2 linked regions of the Stegostoma tigrinum genome follow. The protein of the gene in region 2 purifies or fractionates together with the protein of the main gene of each other region. This does not show direct contact. Links are inferred from orthologs where the notes say so. Each region holds a gene or a part of one and is shown on either strand. Other genes may lie near its edges.

Region 1 (10,306 bases), on a different chromosome or scaffold from region 2:
GAAAAGTTGAAGCAAAGCAGTGAGTTTCAGGGAAATTGTGTTTTATATTGCTGCTGAAGATCATGATAAATTGACTGTAATCTTATCCTGGAAACCTCTTTCAAATGGAGAAGCAATTCCTATGATAACAATATTTTGTTGATTTTTGTTTTTTCTTAGAACCTTCTGCACAGCAGTTAGTTATTTAAAAATGGTGAATGACATACATTTGTAGAGTGATTTACCTTATCTTTCCTTTCTTGTATAGGATACAGATTTCACTCGAGGTCTGTTAGAAAGAACCAAAAGTCCGATTGATTCCAGATTTGGATTCATTAAGAAGCTAGAGGTACAAGAGTATAAATGCTACAACTAAAACATCGTTAAAATGAGAATTATTACTCTGTAAGGATGTTTCTACTCCATTACTTTGGAAGTCTGCTTCCTTGCCGTTCCATATTTGCGGATCTCAATCTTAGTTGTGATGTTAAGTTTCTCAAATTAAGATGTATGTTTATCCAACCTGGGGGTGTTTTTGAGGAAAGTCCTTATACGTTGACAGTCACTTGTGTATTTCTCATTCTTGTCCCTAGTTGGAGGTCAGAAAAATCAACAGTGTGAAGTTGGCTTTCTTCATATACGTTTTGAACACTTTGAAAATTTTATGTAGACACTTTTTAACTTGTGGTTTATCCAAATTATAATAAATAACATTGTGGATGTAAACTGATTCTGGTAATCATATAAAATTTTCTGCTTATTGGTTGTAAGCTATTGCTATTTTAATTCGTATTCTTAATTTCATATACAAATAACCTTCAATTCAGAACAGAGATAGTAGGAACTGCAGATGCTCGAGAGTCTGAGATAACAAGGTGTAGAGCTGGATGAACAAGCAGGCCAAGCAGCATCAGAGGAGCAGGAAGGCTGATGTTTTGGGCCTAGACCCTTCTTCAGAAAAGAAGGGTCTAGGCCCGAAACGTCAGCCTTCCGGCTCCCCCGATGCTGCTTGGCCTGCTGTGTTCATCCAGCTCTACACCTTGTTATCTTTAATCCAGAACCGACTGTTTTCGCATAGTACACCTTGGAGAGAAGTCATCTTTATTTTCATATGTGGCATAATGATTCCTTGTTCACATATCAATTTCTATATGTAACTGTATATTGTAAACTATGTGATCTATCCATTCATCATGGAAATATATGAATTAGCTGTAGATAATGGAAGCTTTTAAAAATAAATCCTAGGTATGTGCAGCAGAAGTACACATGGCATGCAATATTTGTGTATTTAATGGTTCAATTTTAAACCCCACTGCTGGTGAAGAATCATCTGCATAAAATTAGCATAAGACTTTCTTGTGATCTCAGTCTGCTATAATTTTTATTTATCATTCATTTCATGGGAAGAGGGTGTTGCTGGCTAGGCCAGAGGACTCTTAGGGGTCAACCATATTGCTACAGGTGTGGAGTCACATGTAGACCAGACCAGGTAAGGAAGGCAGCTTCCTTCCCTTAAGGCTAGTGAACCAGATGGGTTTTTCCTGATATCAGCAATGGATTTATAGTCATCTTTAGCCTACAAATTCCAGATTTATTCTATTAAATTCAAATTCCACCATCTGCTGTCGAGGAATTTGAGCCCAAATCCCCAGAACATTAGCTGGGTCTTTGGGTTAACAAAAACTGCAAGAACTGCAGATGCTGTAAATCAGAAACAAAAATAGAAATTGTTTGAAAAGCTCAGCAGAACTGGCAGCATCTGTAGAGAGAAATCAGAGCTAATGTTTCGGCTCAGGTTCTGAGGAAGGGTCATCGGACCCACAACATTAACTCTGATTTCTCTCCACAGATGCTGCCAGACCTACTGAGCTTTTCTAGCAACTTCTGCTTTTGTCTTTGGATTAACAGTCCTGTATTTATACCATTAGGCCATTTCCTCACATTGATATGTGAGATGAGGTGTGAGAAGCAGATACTGTTTCCTTCTAGTTAAGTAGATTTACTAGAAGTTGTCAGAATTTGAAGGGTTTTGTTAGAGGAAATGAAAACAAACTGTTTCCATAGATATGAAAAGGAGTAACAATTGAATTAAAACATTACTTCAGCTGGAGACATAAAGCAGCAGAAGTTTGTTGTGTAAAGTGTAAATATGTACTATCTGATAATTTTAAATTGATTCAATTTCATTTTCATTTTTTAATCAAGACAGACCGATGGATTTAGTGAAGACCGCCCAAGTTTGACATCTGCAAGAAAGTCCGTTTTAAATGGATGCAACTTGTTACTAAAAGTGAACATCTAAAATCCAGTACTGCAGCTTTAATGTTGAAATTCTAGCTGTGTGGACGTGTGACTTCATTTAGAACACTTATGTCTGTTCTGGATTGTCTACTTTAAGCCTCATTTGAAATATGTTTAATTACAGGAAATAAATTTCCCAGTTATCTTGGTGATATATTTATGTTTGTGTTGATAATTAAAATACTTGATTGTAAATTATGCAGGAAACCCTTATTAGAAAGCAAGTATTAATTCACAAAGCTTGAGAAAATATATACAAATTGATTGGATCCTTTTTTAATAGGAAAAGGAATTTGTTTTTATATTGTACATTTTTCACTGAAGAGAAAAATGGAGACCGACAACCCCTCCCTGCATTCCTCATGGCAGTCTGAGTAAATCTACCGGTATGAGTTTAGTTAGCTAACAAAGATCGACAGTTAACATTTCCTGCTGCATGTCCACACCCACTAAGATGCAACCAATCAACACTCTCTTTATACAAGTATAGAAATATAAACAAAAGCTTTTATAGAAGTAGTATAAATTGATGTTCCTTTTGGTATCTTGTGTACCAGTCCTAATCAGTGAAAGACAAATAGCTTTGGCTCTGAGTCTCTTTTTTAAAAATCCTTGAGTTCTGTAAGCAATTATTAATAGATGTTTTTGTTCATGTTTTGTGGTGCAGACTGGCATTTATTCTCCATCCATAATAGCTCTTACAATTGAGATGATGTAGGGACATGGATGTTGGACAGGGGTGAACAATGTCAGAAATCTCATGATGCCAGGTTATAGTCCAACAGATTTATTTAAAATCACAAGCTTTCAGAATGCTGCTCCTTTGTCAAGTGAAATCGATAGGCAATTATGCTGGATGAAGTATGAATAAAAACTTAAGAACAGCCAAGAAGATTAAGGTCCAAATATGGTTCGACCATTTCAGCTTCCCAGCAATCTTTTAAAATGATGTGAAATGTATTTAAAACCAGCATCAGTGAATTTAGGCACCACACCAGATTTACGGTAAAATCAAATCCTTCATAGGTATCAGAATTATTCTCTGAGCGACTATCTGTTCTTCCCTCCTTTTACAATAAGCTTCACTCTATCCAGATCATGCTTTTTGATCTCCTTCTCTCTTTGAAAATTCAAGGTTTTTTAAAGTTCCAATTCCCTTTTGTGATCATGACCACGGGCCCAAAATTGGTCATTTTAGATTGACCCATAGCTGGAGAAATTGGGCCTGACAGACAACAGAGAACAGTGGAAGCCAAGACCGTAGAGGTGACAAAGCTCTGGGCGGAAACCCGCTTACAGCCAGCCCGAGGGTTGTGTATTGAAGAAGTATCGATATGACTTTCTGGCACCTTGACTGCCAGCATTTCCTGTATTTGTGATGGAAGTTTGGGTTTGAAAGTCCAAACCATGTAAAAAAAAACTTCACAATCTATCCCAGCTTCCTGTTGTGGTTGGTTTGTTAAATCACAGATGTTTCATTAGCCTGCTGGATAGCATCATCAGTACAGCCTCCGATGAAGTGTTATGTTTTCCCACTTAAATATTTAAACTCTGGGGACCGCTGGAGTTGATTACCTCACCTCAGGTTTTTCTTTGCAGTGGTGTGTACATAGGGTCCAATTCTGTGTGCTTATTGATGGCCTTCTTGTTTGGCTTGTCCTAGGATCCTGACATTTTCCCATCAAACTGGTGGTTTTCCTTGTCTGCATGTATGGAGACGAGTGAGTATTGGTTGTGTTTTTTTTGTTGTTGCTTGGTGTTCATGTATTCTCATAGCCAGTTTCCTTCCTGTCTGTCCAATGTAATGTTTGTCACAGCCCTTGCATGAAATCTTGTATATTACGTTGGCCCTGTCCATAATGGGTACTCAATAAACATCTAGAATTAGACTCTAGAAGCGCATCACTGCAAAGAAAAACCAGAAATGAGGTAATCAACTCCAATGGACCCCAGAGTTTAAATAACAGGAGGAAAGACACAACAATACTTTGTCGGAGGCTGCACTGAAGATGTTACCCAGCGGGGTAATGAAACATCTGCAAATTAACGAACCAGCTCGGTGAGCCAACCAACCACAGCATTGAGCTGCAATCTACTCAAGACCTTTAAATATCCAGCTTCCGGTACACTTGGTTTGTCTATAATCTATGAATTCTCTTCTCTTTTTGGGAAGAGATGTCGTTTATTCAGCATTGCAAGTACTCCTGTACCTATTTGAATGACAAACAAGCTGTCACTTGAATGAAAGACCTTGCACTATCTGCAATACTGGCTGCTTTAAGCTGCTAGTGTGCTTTTATTTTTACACCCTGAAGTCCTATCACACACAACTGAGCAATTTTCCCACCATGCTAGGTTACTGTTATTCATGGGCCTGTTGATAGGAAATTGATTGGAAATATCCAATGACAATTAGCGCAAATAAAGGCAAATTCTTGGAGTAAATATAACTCAAAATTAGTTAAATTTCAACAGGCACTAGTGTATCAAAAATGTCAAACAGCGTACAAAAAAGTAAAATTTATCAGGGAGCAATAACATTACCAGTTGAGGTAAGGTGACCCAATTTGTTAATTGTGTTAATGAGAGTGTTTACTGAACTCAGGTGTAATTCAACCACCATTATGTTGAACAAGAGTATTTTAAACTTTGATGAACGAATTGGAACCCACTTGTGGAAATCAGAATCGGTTTTTATCTCTGCTTGTGTGCCTAAAAATGACATTGGGAAAAACGTCCAGGGCATTCTGCAGCATGGAGCAGGAGAAATAAGATCCCTGAGATTAAATAAAATTAATATCTAAAATATGAAAGTGACACACGCTGGAAATCTGAAGTAATAACAGAAATTGCAAGAGATGCTCAACAAAGCAGTATCTGCAGATTGAGGGAAACATGAGTTAACATTTTATGAAAAGTTGCAGATCTGAAGCACATTGAAATTCTTGTTTCTGTCTGCTGCGCCAGCAGAATATTTCCAGCTTTGCTTGTTTTTATACAGGACAAACCAGAGTTAACTTTTCAAGTCCGGTATGCCTTCCTCAGAACTGAATTTAGATCAAAAGTAATATTTCCAATTTTAAGGGCTCTTTTGATGTAATAGACATATCCCTACCTCTGAACTGGGGACCTGTTCTTGCACAATAGTAATGTCTCTACCTTTGAGTTAGAAGGCTTGGGTTCAAATCTCACCAGATCCAGAAGTGTGTCATAACATCTCTGTTAATTAGGGGACAGCTGGAAGCAAAGAACAAATGTAATATCTCCAAAATTACGGGCTCTTGTAGTGTCCCTACCTCTGAGCTGGGGGGGGGGGCTCTTAAGGCATTATTAGTAATGTCCCTACTCTGGGTTAGGAGCTGTTGTGGCACAATGCTAATGTTGCTCTCTTTGAGTTAGTGGGTTCTTGTGGCATATTGGTATTGTCCCTACCTGTGAGTTAGGGGCTCTTGTGCACAATGCTAATGTCAATGTCTCTGAGTAAGGGGTTTCTTGAGGCATATTAGTAATGCCCCTACCTCTGGGTGAGGGGTTCTTGGGGCACAATGCTAATGTCCCTACCCCTGGGTTAATGAGGGCTGGGTTTAATTCCCACCTGCTCCAGAGGTATGTACTAACATCCCTGAACTAGTTAATTTAAAAGAAAATCTAAACATTTCTCAATCAACCTGTTTAGAGATGTCATTACACACCTCTGGCACAGGTGAGACTTGAACCCAGGCCTTCTGGCTCAGACGTGGAGGTGCTGGTTTTGGTTTTGAACCGGGGTAGACAAAGTCAGAAGTGACACGACACCAAGTTATAGTCCAACAAATCTACTTGAAACCACGGTGTGAGGCTGGATGAACACAGCAGGCCAAGCAGCATCAGAGGAGCAGGAAGGCTTGATGTTTCACGTCAGGACCCTTAAGACCCTTCAGTCCTGACCCGAAACGTCAGCTTTCCTGCTCCTCTGATACTGCTTGGCCTCCTGTGTTCATTCAGTTCTACACCTTGTTATCTCAGATTCTCCAGCATCAGCAGTTCCTACTCTCTCCATTTGAGATCACAAAGTTTGAAGCGCTGTTCCTTCGTCAGGTGAAGTCGGGGCAATGCCTCGAAAGCTTGCGATTTCGGATAAACCTGTTGGACCATGACCTGGTGTCGTGTGACTTCTGACTTTGCCCTGGCTCAGAGGTAGGGACACTGCCACTGCACCACCTGTACGAATAGTACCATGCTGTCTTCATGAATGGGGATCACTAGCTGGTCAGCCGCCACAATGTATCGAGAGGTTGTATCTCGTCCATGGGTGAGTGTCCCACCCACTCCTTGCCCTGATACGTTGCTGCCTGGTGAAGGGCTGCTCTGTGTGGCTGAGAGCCGTGTCAATCAGCAGGAACCGCGCCAGCCAGGGCGAAAGTGAAAGGAGCTGGGTTTGTGGAGTGGCCGGGCTTTATGTTTGGCCTTTGTTTTTATACGAAAGATACCCTTTGCAAGTCACTGGCAGGAGGGAAGATTTGATTTTGGTCTGAAGATTATTTGCAGAGGTAGAATAAAGCTTTTCTGCGCGCGTTGCGGTTTAAGAGCAGCAAAAGAAAAGTGTTTGGAGAAGGCTTTATTGCAGAGCTCTGCACAAAACCTAGAGCGCTGGCTAGAAATGCAGTGCTGGAAGCTCAAAGCAATCTGCCTTCACATCATGCCGTCCTATTTTTGCATAAAAGGTTTGTAGTCTCAGGTAAATGTCAGGAGCAGGGGCTGGCTGCAGGCGGCATGGAGAGAATGACTCACCAACAGCAAGCCTTGTTTTTGGGGCCTGACATACTCAGCCACAGCCAAGGGGAGATTTTGTTGTTGTGTTTTTTTCTTGAGTGCATGACAACATTTCCAGAAAAAACACCCACCAACACAGCGTTCATCGTCACTCCCAGCCTCAATATGTTGTTGCTTTTTAGTCAGGAGCCTTTTACTCCCCGGTCTGTTATCTGCATCAAATCCAGGCGCTGGGTCAAAGATGCAAATTCAAAGGGAACAAAATATACTGTTCAGGGAGGTCTCTGTTTAGCAAAAGTGTTCGAATCTGCTAACATTATCGGGTCCGTTTAGTGAAAAATAGTCAAGTAAAACTTGTGTTAACTAGTGATGGGTTTATGATAATCTGCTCCACGGTGGACCACCTACCTACATAACTTAAAAAAAACTGAAAGAACTGCGGATGCTGTAAATCAGGAACGAAAACAGAAATTGCTGGAAAAGCTCAGCAGATCTGGCAGCACCTGTGAAGGAAAAAGTCAGAGTTAACGTTTAGGGCCCGGTGACCCTTCCTACATAAGCTTTTCCGTGCCTAGGTATGTGAGGCACTAGTAAGACTGCCTGGCAAAATGGGTTTTATCTGCAGGATACCATGCTATGCCAAAACATGGCTGAATAATGGTTATGCAATCTGTGTAAACTACCTGCATGCTAAATTCTACATGCCAGTTCTGAAGATGGGTCACTGAACCCAAAATGTTAACTCTCTTTCTGTCTTCAGATGCTGCCAGACCTGCTGAGTTTCTCCACTATTTCTGTCTAATTACATCAATGTGCTAATTGTGTTCTAATGCTATTAGGGAGAGTGTAAGTAGGTAGCAGTTTCTTACTTGAAGTGCTAATTTTGAACGGCTGAATTTCACTCCATTAAGCAGTATAACAAAGACGTTTTTTAACCCTCCATTTTTCTTTCTTGGACGAAGTCAGAAGTCACACGACTCCAAGTTATAGTCCAACAGGTTTATTTGAAGTCACAGCAGAGCACCTTCGTTTATTTTTTCTCTTGTAAAGTGTAAAATGCTCTGTGCTTCCAGATGATGTGTAAAGCAAGACTAACTCAAGCTGTCAGATAGGTGCCACCACTTGCTGATTACAGTGTGTGCTCAGAGATGTCATTCTACTGTGAGGGATCATGCAGCATTTCCAAAGCAAACATATGTGGGAATCTGTTTCTTTAATCTTGCAGGAGCTCTTAAAACTGAGAGTTTATGATGGGCACAGCAACAAAGATTTGCTAGGCTCGAGGACAGAAGAGTTTTCCGTCAGTTTAAATACCTTGTCATTTCTCTCGAGGAGGGTTACAAATCATGGTTTTCTTTTGTTCCCGCAGCATGTTGTTCTGGCGGAATTGGACTAATTCCCAGTATCTGGGTGGACGAACTGCATCCCAGTTTTCTGATGGCAGTTTTCTATTTGCTCCGGATCCTGAAGAGTCATTATCTCAGATGATAAATCGTTCGTTAACAGATGACACTGCGTCACCAGATGAGGATCTGGATTCTGTTTTATTTGGAAACCTCCGTGGGAATGTGGTTGGGATGCGTTATTATACAGGAGTGGTAAGACTTGTCCCTCCAATCTAGCGTAATATTAAATAGCTGCGTTTAAATCTTCAATTTGCCATACCTTCAGTTACCTATTTATTATTGATTTAACAGTTGGGATTCAAAAACCTAAAAGTACATTTATATAATACCTCTCCCACAGCAAAAAGACCTAAGTTGCGTCGTGGGAGTATTTTAAAGATACTTAGCCCCATAAACCAACATAGGGCCAGATGACCAAAGCAGTAGATTTTAAGGAGTGTCTCAGTGGATGGAAGGGAAGAAGAGTAATGGGCAGGTTACTGAAGAAATGGTCAAACTTAGACAGCTAAAGGCACTTCTACCTATTGTGGACCAATTAAAATTGAGGGAGGAGGGGCTATGGTAGTGCAGCGATGGTGTCCTTTATCTCTGGTCGAGTCGACCCTGGTTCGAGTCCCACTTACTCCAGAGTACTGACATCTCCGAATAGGTTAAGTTTGAAAAGAAAGTATCACCATTTAAAATAATAGGTTCAAGAGGTCAGAAATAGATGAGTGCAGGTACACCAGAGGGTTGTGGGGCTGGAGTTGATGATAGAGATAGGGAGGGGCCAGGCCATGGAGATTCTTGAGAATTGCGATAAGAATTTTTAAGCGGCCATGTTGCTTGACCCGACATCCGTGCTTCCTGGAGTGATGGATGAGTGGGACTCTGTACGAATATGGATGGGGATAGCAGAATTTTGGACAATGTCAAGTTTGTGGAAAAGTAGAATATGGGAGGCCAGCTAAAATTGTGTTGGAAAAATCAAGACTAGGAGTAAAAACAGTGAAAAGGGTTTGAGCAACACAGGAGTTGAACTGGGGGCAAAGTCAGGCATTTCACAGGTAGATGGATTAGGTCCTTGTACTTACATGGACATGTGCCTGTGATCTCATCTCAGGATGAATTCTGTCTACCTGGGTTGCACCATCTGTTTTAGTCTTGGAAAATGCCAGGGAGAAGGATGGAACCAGGAGCAAGGGAACAGAGTTTGTGATGGGAACCAAAGAGGGTGCCTTCAGCCTTCCCAATATTTAACTTCATGAAAGGCATTGCTTATTAGACATTCCAGACAAATTGAAGATGTTGTGCATTTTGAAAAGTAAATGGGCTCAGTTGTCTGCTGTGAAATCTATAGTTTATTATTTGTGAACAATCTCACTGATCTGATTACAACTTTATAACGATAGGAACAGGGTCTTATTTTCCTTTTTCTTAGAAGACAATGATCTGTCCATTAATTCAATTTACTTACCTCTGATCCAGACCCCTGAATACTCAGACCTTTACATCTCAATCTAAACATTCCACCTACATTCCTTCAATTTCTCCAGTTTGTTTGTGCATGACGAGTGGGATGGGGAAGCCATGGGCCTCCTGCAGTGCCACAATGATGCCACCCGAAGGTTGCAGGAACAGCAACTCATATTCCGCTTGGGAACCCTGCAGCCTAATGGCATCAATGTGGACTTCACCAGCTTCAAAATCTCCCCTTCCCCCACTGCATCCCTAAACCAGCCCAGTTCGTCCCCTCCCCCCACTGCACCATACAACCAGCCCAGCTCTTCCCCTCCACCCACTGCATCCCAAAACCAGTCCAACCTGTCTCTGCCTCCCTAACCTGTTCTTCCTCTCACCCATCCCTTCCTCCCACCCCAAGCCGC
Region 2 (9,814 bases):
CAAATTCGACCTTCCAAAATGCATCACCTCGCATTTATCCAGGTTGAACTCCATCTGCCACCTCTCAGCCCATCTCTGCATCCTGTCAATGTCCCGCTGCAGCCTACAACAGCCCTCTACACTGTCAACGACACCTCCGACCTTTGTGTCGTCTGCAAACTTGCTGACCCATCCTTCAATTCCCTCGTCCAAGTCATTAATAAAAATTACAAACAGTAGAGGCCCAAGGACAGAGCCCTGTGGAACCCCACTCACCACTGACTTCCAGGCAGAATATTTTCCTTCTACTACCACTCGCTGTCTTCTGTTGGCCAGCCAATTCTGTATCCAGACAGCTAAGTTCCCCTGTATCCCATTCCTCCTGGCCTTCTGAATGAGCCTTCCATGGGGAACCTTGTCAAATGCCTTACTGAAGTCCATATACACCACATCCACAGCTTGACCCTCATCAACCTTACTAGTCACATCCTCAAAAAACTCGATAAGGTTTGTAAGGCATGACCTACCCCTCACAAAGCCGTGTTGACTGTATTTGATCAAGCCATGCTCTTCCAGATGGTCATAAATCTTATCCCTCAGAATCCTTTCTAACACCTTGCAGACGACAGACGTGAGACTTACCGGTCTATAATTGCCGGGGATTTCCCTATTTCCTTTCTTGAAGAGAGGAATTACATTTGCCTCTCTCCAGTCCTCAGGTACGACTCCAGTGGAGAGCGAGGATGCAAAGATCTTCGCAAGTGGCGAAGCAATTGCATTTCTCGCTTCCCAAAGCAGCCGAGGACAAATCTGATCCGGGCCTGGCGACTTGTCAATCTTAATGTTTGACAAAATTTTCAGTACATCAGCTTCCTCTATCTCTATCCATTCCAGCATGCACACCTGCTCTTCAAAGGTTTCATTCACTACACAGGTCGTTTCTTTCGTAAAGACAGAAGCAAAAAACTCATTTAGGGCTTCCCCTACCTCCTCAGGCTCCACACACAAGTTCCCTATGCTATCCCTGATCGGCCCTACTCTTTCTTTGACCATTCTCTTATTCCTCACGTAAGTGTAAAATGCCTTTGTGTTTTCCCGGATTCCTTCTGCCAAGCCTTTCTCGTGCCCCCTCCTGGCTCTCCTCAGACCATTTTTGAGCTCCTTCCTTGCCTGCATGTAATCCTCTCTAGCTGAACTTGACCCTAGCTTCCTCCACCTTATGTAAGCTACCTTCTTCCTTTTCACTAGAAGCTCCACCGCTCTCGTCATCCAAGGTTCCTTTATCTTACCCCGTCTTGCCTGTCTCAGAGGGACATATTTACTCATCACTCCCAACAACTGTTCCTTAAACCATCTCCACATGTCTATAGTTCCCTTACCATGGAACAACTGCTCCCAGTCCATGCTTCCTAACTCGTGTCTAATCGCATCATAGTTTCCTCTTCCCCAATTAAATATCCTCCCATTCTGCCTAATCCTCTCCTTCTCCATAGCTATGTAGAATGAGAGAGTGTTATGGTCACTATCACCAAAATGCTCTCCCACCACAAGATCTGATACCTGCCCCGGCTCGTTTCCGAGCACCAAGTCTAGAATGGCCTCTCCCCTCGTCGGCCTGTCAACGTACTGCGTTAGGAAACCCTCCTGAACACACCTTACAAAAACAGCTCCATTCAAATCTTCTGCTCGAAGGAGGTTCCAATCAATATTAGGAAAGTTAAAGTCACCCATTACAACAACCCTACTGCGTCCACACTTTTCCAAAATCTGTCAACCTATGCTTTCTACAATCTCCCTGCTGCTATTGGGGGGCCTGTAGTAAACCCCTAACGAGGTGACTACTCCCTTGCTGTTCCTAATTTCCACCCATACTGACTCAGTAGGCAGATCTTCCTCGACAATGGAAGCTTCTGTAGCTGTGATACCCTCTCTGATTAGTAGTGCTACACCCCCTCCTCTTTTTCCCCCCTCCCTATTCTTTTTAAATGTTCTAAACCCTGGAATATCCAGCAACCATTCCAGCCCATGAGAAACCCATGTCTCTGTTATGGCCACAACATCATAGCACCAGGTACTGATCCATGCTCTAAGTTCATCACTTTTATTCCTGATACTCCTTGCATTAAAGCAAACACACTTTAACCGATCCCTTGGTTCCTTCCCAGGAAAATCCTTCCCACTAGCTGGTCTACCTCTTGCTACTGCCTCACCTGCATCAACGCTCACCTCTGGTATACAGCTCAGGTTCCCACCCCCCCTGCCATACTAGTTTAAACCCTCTCGAACTACTCGAGCAAACCTTCCACCCAGGACATTGGTCCCCTTCCAGTTCAGATGCAACCCGTCCTTCTTGTACAGGTCCCACCTTCCCCAGAAGGCATCCCAATTATCAACATATCTGAAACCCTCCCTCCTACACCAGCTGCGTAGCCACGTGTTCAGCTGCGCCCGCTCCCTGTTCCTCACCTCGCTATCTCGTGGCACCGGTAGTAAACCAGAGAACACTACTCTGTTCGTCCTGCTCTGCAGCTTCCATCCTAACTCCCTGAAATCACTTTTTATATCCTCAAACCTATTTCTGGCTATATCATTTGTGCCAATATGTAACACGATTTCTGGCTGTTCACCCTCCCCTTTCAGAACTTTATACACCCGATCGGAGACGTCCCGGACCCTGGCACCAGGGAGGCAACATACCTTCCGGGAATCCCGATCTTGCCCACAAAATCTCCTGTCGATTCCCCTAACTATCGAGTCCCCTACCACGAGTACTTTTCTATTCTGCCCCCTTCCCTTCTTTGCCACAGTGTCAGACTCAGTGCCAGAGAACTGACTACTATGGCTTTCCTCTGGTAGGTCAACCCCCCCAGCAGTATCCAAAACGGTATACTTATTGCTGAGGGGAATGCCCACAGGGGATCTCTGCACTGTCTGTCTGTCCCCTTTCCTCCCCCTAACTGTAACCCATCTATCCTCGTCCTGAGCCTTAGGAGTGACCAACTCCCGATAACTCCTCTCAATTACCCCCTCTGCCTCCCGAATGATCCGTAGTTCATCCAGCTCCAGCTCCATTTCCCTAACACGGTTTTCAAGGAGCTGTAGCTGGGTGCACTTCCCACAGATGTAGCCAGCGGAGACGTGTGCCACATCTCCCAACTGCCACATTCTGCAGGAGGAGCAAGCAACTGCCCTAGCATCCATACCCCACTTATCTGAACACCCACTCAGTACTAAAGCAGAAAGCTCACTTCAAGTAATAATAACAAATTAATAACAAACTTATGTTCAATAGAGAAAGTTTAGAATGAACCTTACCTTATTAACTAGGTTAGAGGAGGAGGGCGGGTGGGAGACACTACAGTTGTAGAGTCTCAGGTTAAGCCGCCTTGCTGAGATATATGGTCACTGCTTTCCTTCCCGGCTGCCCCTCTGGTCCTCGTCACTTCCTCTGATGCTCCCGCTCCTTCTCTGAAAGAGCAAAAAAAACACCGCTGCCCGCTACCGGTAAGTAATTTTAAAAATAAACTGCTTTACCTTAGCTGCAGTCTTCCGGGTCCGTCTTGCCTCCGCTGCTGCTCGCACTCAAAAAGGCCGTTGGCGTCGAAGGGTGAGTATTTATACTCACTGCTTTCCTTCCCGGCTGCCCCTCTGGTCCTCGTCACTTCCTCTGATGCTCCCGCTCCTTCTCTGAAAGAGCAAAAAAAACACCGCTGCCCGCTACCGGTAAGTAATTTTAAAAATAAACTGCTTTACCTTAGCTGCAGTCTTCCGGGTCCGTCTTGCCTCCGCTGCTGCTCGCACTCAAAAAGCAAAAATGATTTATCAATCCATGTTTCAGTCTGGAATCTGACTAGTTCAGAAATAACATCAGTGTGATCAAAACAACAATGTTGTTTCTTATTCATAGCCTTCATATCACAATATGATTCCATACTCCAGCTGAAATTATGTGCATAGCACCCTCAGAGCCATAAAGCACAGGAACACATCCTTCGGTCCAACTTGTCCATGCCAACCAAGACTCCCAAACAAAAACTAGTCCCATTTGCCGATTTTTGGCCCACATCCCTCTAAACCATTCCTATTCATGCACCTGTTCAAATGACTTTTAAATGTTGTAATTTTACCTGCATCTACCACTTCTGCTGGCAGTTCATATGAATGACCCTCTGTGTGAAAATATTGCTTCTTAGATCCCTTTTAAATCGTTCTCCTGTCACCTTAAAAATATACCCACTGGTTTTGGACACCATCCCAGTTCCCGTTCCCCCACCTCTCCAACCTGAGGGAAAAGACCTTTGCTGTTAATCTTATCTATGCCTGTCATGATTTTATAAACCGCTACAGTCACCCCTTAACCTCCTACATTGCAGTGAATAGTCCCAGCCTATCCACCTTCTTCCTATAACTCAAACTTTCCAGTTCTCGTAACATTCTGGTAAATCTTTTCTGAACCTTCTCTAATTTAATAATATCCTTCCTACAGCAGGGTGACCAGAACTGGACATGGTACTCCAAAAGAGGCCTCACCAACATCCTGTACAGCCTCAACATTACGTCCCAACCCATAAATTCAGTGGTCTGAGCAATGAAGGCAAGCATGCTAAATGCCTTCTTAACCACCCTGTCTACCTGTGACACAGCTTTCAAAGAATTATGTACTTGGACCCCTAGGTCTCTGTTCAACAATACTACTCAGGGCCCTACCATTAACTGTATAAGTCCTGCCCTTGTTCGCTTTGCCTTGCATTTATCCAAATTAAACTCCGTCTGCTACTCCGCAGCCCATTGGCCTAATTGATCAAGATCTCTTTGTATTCTTAGATAACCTTCGCTGTTGACTATACAACCAATTTTGGTGTCATCTGCAAACTTAAGAACCCTGCATCCTAAATTCTCCTTTGAATCTTTTATGTAAATGACGAATAACAGTGGACCCAGTGTTCATCCCTGCAGAACACCACTGGTCAGAGGAGCCTCCAGTCTGAAAAACAACCCTCCACCACCACCCTCTGTGCCCTGTCAAATCAATTTTGTATCCAACCGAAAAAGGTGTCCTTGAATCCCATGTGAGCTAACTTTGCTAATCAGTCTACCATGCGGAACCTTATCAAAGGCTTTGTTAAAGTCCACGTAGACAACATCTACCTCTCCGCCCTCGTTAATCTTTTTGAATATGTCCTGAAAAACTCAAATCAATTTTGTGAAATATGATTTCCAACACACAAAGCCATGCTGACTATCCCTAATTAGTTCCTGCTCTCCAAATGCATGTAAATCCGGTCTCTCAGCATCACCTCCAACAACTTGTACATCGATCCTTGAAAGTGGAGTCACAGGTAGACAGGGTGGTGAAGAAAATGTTTGGCATGCTTGCCTTAATTGGTCATAACATTGAGTTTAGGAGTTGGAATGTCATGTTGCAGCTATGTAGGACATTGGTGAGGCCACTTTTCGAATATTGCATACAATTTTGGTTGTTCTTCTAAAGCAAGGATGTTGTTAAACTTTAGAGGTCACAGAAAAGATTTACAAGGATGTTGTCAGGACTGAAAGGTTTGACTGATAGGGAGTGGCTGAATAGGCTGGGTTTTTTTTTAGCCGTAGTGTCGGAGACTGAGGGGTAACCTTATGGAGGTTTATAAAATCATGAGAGACATGGACAGGGTGAATAGCCAAAATATATTTCCTAGGGTGGGGAGTCCAAAAGTAGAGGTTTGAGGTGAGAAGGGAAAGATTTAAAAAGGATCTTAGGGGTAACTTTTTCCACACAGAGAATGGTGTGTGTATGGAATGAGCTGCTGGAGGAAGTGGAGGAGTTGGATACAGTTACAACATTAAAAAGGCACTTGGATGAGTAAATTGTAGGAAGGATTTAAAGGAATATGAACCAAATGCTGGCAAATAGGGCTAGGTCAGACTGGGATGTCTGGTCATTGTGGATGAGTTGGACCAAAGGTCCTGTTTCCATGCTGCATGACTCTTCGATTTCATGACAATGTAAGTTACCTACCTCTGATCCCCAAATCAATGTTGTGAGTTCATGATTCAGTCTGTGGACTTGGTCACAAGATTCTAGTGGTAAGGGAGTGAGATGTGACCTTGCTGTTCATGAGAACTTGCTTTCTATCTCCTTTTGGACATTATGAAAATCCATTATTGTATATCTGAATGTTTCTGATCTAATCGTTTTTTTAAAGTATCTGTTTGGTGGAATTATAACTAAGGAAAGATTTGCACTTTCCTCAGGCTTCCAGATGTCCCAAAGTGCATTCCAGACAATTAAGTATTTTTTGAACTGTAGTCACTGTTGTAGGAAATGTAGCAGCTGTCTTACACAGAGTAAGGTAGCACAAACAACCAGATAACCAGTAATGGTTGATGAGGATCTCTTGTCCAAGTCACACAGGAAGAATTGCATAGTTTCATTTCAAAACAGTGGCATGAGCTCTTCTAACATTAGCTTAACAGAGCAGAGCAGTCTAGCCTCAGTTTAATATCCCACCTGAAAGTTAACACTTGTGAAAGTGTGCCATTCTTCTAGTACTGCACTAGACCATCACTTGAAATTGTATACTAAATATCTGGTGTGGTATTGGAAACCACGGCTTTCGGACCGCAGAAGCGAAGGCACTATTGAAATTACACACATGGCTTCATCCAACAGTTAGCCATAAGAAAAACAGATTTGTCGTTCTTGGTCTATTGTCATAACATCCCATTCAGAGATGATATGCAACAGGAAAAAGGTATGATCACAGATTTTAGTTTACTCCCTGTGAACTATCATGAGCATACTTAGTTGGTTCAACTGCCCAGATGATGTTTAACACTGTGAATTGTACAGTTGTAGAACACCACCATGCTTAACATGTATTAACATGCAAATATATATGCCACACATGAATTAGGAACAGGAGGAAGCTGCTCTGCCATTAAAAAGATCATTACAAAGACTCCGCTAAGAAAGTATTTCTTTTCTGCTTTAAACAGGCAGGCCTTATTTTTGAGCAGTGACCCCAAAGTCTAGATTGTCCCACTAGAGGAAACATCGTTTCCATACTCACCCTATCAAGCCTTTGTTTCAGTCAAGTCTTTGTTTTGTCTTCGAAACTCCAGTACATACAATCAGAACGTGCTAACCTTTCTTCATAAGAAAATTCACTCATTCCAGCTGTTAAATCTTCTCTGAATTATTTGCAACAAATTTACATCCTTCCTTAATCAACGAGATCAATACTGAACGCAGTACTACACATGCAGTCCATAAGGCCATTCGGCCCATCGAGTCCACTCCGCCATTTAATCGTGGCTGATGGGCATTTCAACTCCACTTACCCGCACTCTCCCTGTAGCCCTTGATTCCTTGTGAGATCAAGAATTTATCAATCTCTGCCTTGAAGATATTTAATGTCCTGGCCTCCACTGTGGTCCGTGGCAATGAATTCCACAGGCCCACCACTCTCTGGCTGAAGAAATGTCTCCTCATTTCCATTTTAAATTTACCCCCTCTAGTTATAAGGCTGTGCCCACTGGTCCTAGTCTCCCCACCTAATGGAAACAACTTGCCAGCATCCACCCTCTCTAAGCCATACATTATCTTGTAAGTTTCTATTAGATCTCCCCTCAACCTTCTAAACTGTAATGAATACAATCCCAGGATCCTCAGCCATTCATCGTATGTTAAACCTACCATTCCAGGGATCATCTGTGTGAATCTCCGCTGGACATGCTCCAGTGTCATTATGTCCTTCCTGAGGTGTGGGGCCCAAAATTGGACACAGTATTCTAAATGGGGCCTAACTTGAGCTTTATAAAGCCTCAGAAGCACAAATCTCCCCAATACCCTGTATTAAAAGGGTAGGCAATGGCCTAGTAGTATCATCACTAGACTATTAGGCCAGAGATCTTGGTAAAGTCCTGGGGGCCTCAGTTTGAATCCTGACATAGTAGATGGAGGAATTTGAATTCAAGTAAAAATGTGGAATTAAGAGGTGAACGAGGACCACGAAACCATTGTTGATTGTCAGGAAAAACCCGTTTGGTTCCGAATGTCCTTTGGGGATGGAAATTGTCATCCTTTTCTTATTCTAGGCTACATGTGACTCCAGACCCACAGCAATGTTGGCTGACACTTAGCTGTCCCCTGGGCAGTTAGGGATGGGCAACAAATTACTGGCCTAGCCAGTGACGCCCACATCCCATGAATGAATAAAAGAAACTAAAGCATGACCTCTCCAGTTTGGTATTTAATTTCCCAATATAAATACAGAGAGAGAGTAAGGAAAATTCAGTACGGCACACTAGCTTCCCTTTCCTGAGTTAAATCAACTCCTTCAGTTTGAAGCTTCTCTGATTCCCTGCATTCACTAATATTCTATCACAAGTTGAGTGTAATGGCCATCAATTGGGAGAAGGTGCAGAAGAAGTTGAAAGGTGGATAATACACCTTGCCCAGATGGTCCACACCCCAGGGTACTGAAGGACAGGTCTAAGGAAATTGTGGTGGTCTTTCAGGAATCACTGAAGTCAGTGAAGGTCCCAGTGGACTGGAAAATGGCTAATGTAACACGTCTGTTTAAGAAGGGAAGGAAGCCAAAGATGGGAAATTGTAGACCAATTAGTCTGACTTCAAATAAAACTGAAAGTACTGTGGATGCTGTAAATCAGGAACAAAAACAAAGCTGCTGGAAAAGCTCAGCAGGGTTTTGAGGAAGGATCACCGGACCCAAAATATTAATTTTGATTTTTCCTTCACAGATGCTGCCAGACCTGCTGAGTTTTTCCAGCAACTTTGTTTTTGAATCTGACTCCAATCATCAGTAAGATTTAGAGCCCATTATTAAGAATAAGGTACTCGGAAGTGCATAGGAACATAGAGATGAGTCAGTATAATTTCATTAAGAGGGGGTTCTGCCTGACATTTCTGTTAGAATTCTTTGAAGAGGGAACATGCAAATTACACAAAGCGAAGTCAGCGGATGTGATCTATTTCGATTTCCAGAAGGCCTTTGACAAGGTGCCACAGGAGGCTGCTAATTAAGATACGAGCCCATGGTGTAAGGGGCAAGATTCTGGCATGAGTAGAAGATTGGCTGATTGGCAAAAGACCAAGAGCAAGGATAATAGGGTATTTTTCAGGATGGCAGCAGGTGACTAGTGAATTTCAGCGTGGGTCAGTGTTGGAACAGCGACTATTTGGCAAGGCCAAAATTTATTGTTCACCCCTAACTGCCAGGAGAGAATGGGGTGGAGAGCAACTTTCTTAAATATTGCATGCATGCCGTGCAGACACAACCGCAGTGCTCTAGTTCGTTGGGGAGTTCCACGATTTCGACTCTGTAACAGCAAAAGAGCGGTGATATAGTTGCAAGTCAGAATAGTGTGTAACTTGGAGGGAAATGTACAGGTGATGATGTTTCCATCATCTGCTGCCTTTGTCCTTCTAGATGGCTGAAGTCATGGGTTTGAAAGATGGCATCAAAGTTGAGGCAAATAGCACAGATGCATTTAAGGAAAAAGTAGAGAGTGTGTGACTGACACCTCATTTTCACCATGGACTTCCAGTTCCTATACACCTGCATTCCTCATGCAGATGGCCAGGATTGAAAAGAAAACGTTTGGAAGAGTAATGGGAAGAGATTCATATGGACAATAAACACTGTCAGATAAATTGGGCCAAATGATCTTTTGCACTGCAAACCCTTAAATTGAGTGATTTCTTTTTCTTCAAAACACTTTACACAACTGATCTATAAACTTGATAAAGCTCAGTTTGGGCTCATTTTGGACCACCAAAATGACCAATTTGCCTGACTGATTGCTACTCAGGACG

Evidence for each region.
Region 1: the proteins of rpa2 (region 2) and hltf purify together in Homo sapiens (affinity purification with mass spectrometry, with the first as the bait; 3 studies listed by BioGRID). This does not show direct contact. The link is inferred for Stegostoma tigrinum from reciprocal best matches to the Homo sapiens genes RPA2 and HLTF.

Annotation. Positions count from the first base shown.
Region 1 is NC_081367.1:68,337,219-68,347,524, forward strand, and holds the start of hltf (helicase-like transcription factor), read left to right. Parts: upstream 1-6,321; 5' UTR 6,322-6,415; coding exon 6,416-6,459; intron 6,460-6,467; exon of another isoform or gene 6,468-6,574; intron 6,575-6,671; exon of another isoform or gene 6,672-6,812; intron 6,813-7,248; exon of another isoform or gene 7,249-7,358; intron 7,359-8,404; coding exon 8,405-8,633; intron 8,634-10,306. UniProt on the Homo sapiens protein: Has both helicase and E3 ubiquitin ligase activities. Possesses intrinsic ATP-dependent nucleosome-remodeling activity; This activity may be required for transcriptional activation or repression of specific target promoters.
Region 2 is NC_081377.1:37,458,954-37,468,767, reverse strand, and holds the start of rpa2 (replication protein A 32 kDa subunit), read right to left. Parts: upstream 3,770-9,814; 5' UTR 3,295-3,769; intron 1-3,294. UniProt on the Homo sapiens protein: As part of the heterotrimeric replication protein A complex (RPA/RP-A), binds and stabilizes single-stranded DNA intermediates that form during DNA replication or upon DNA stress.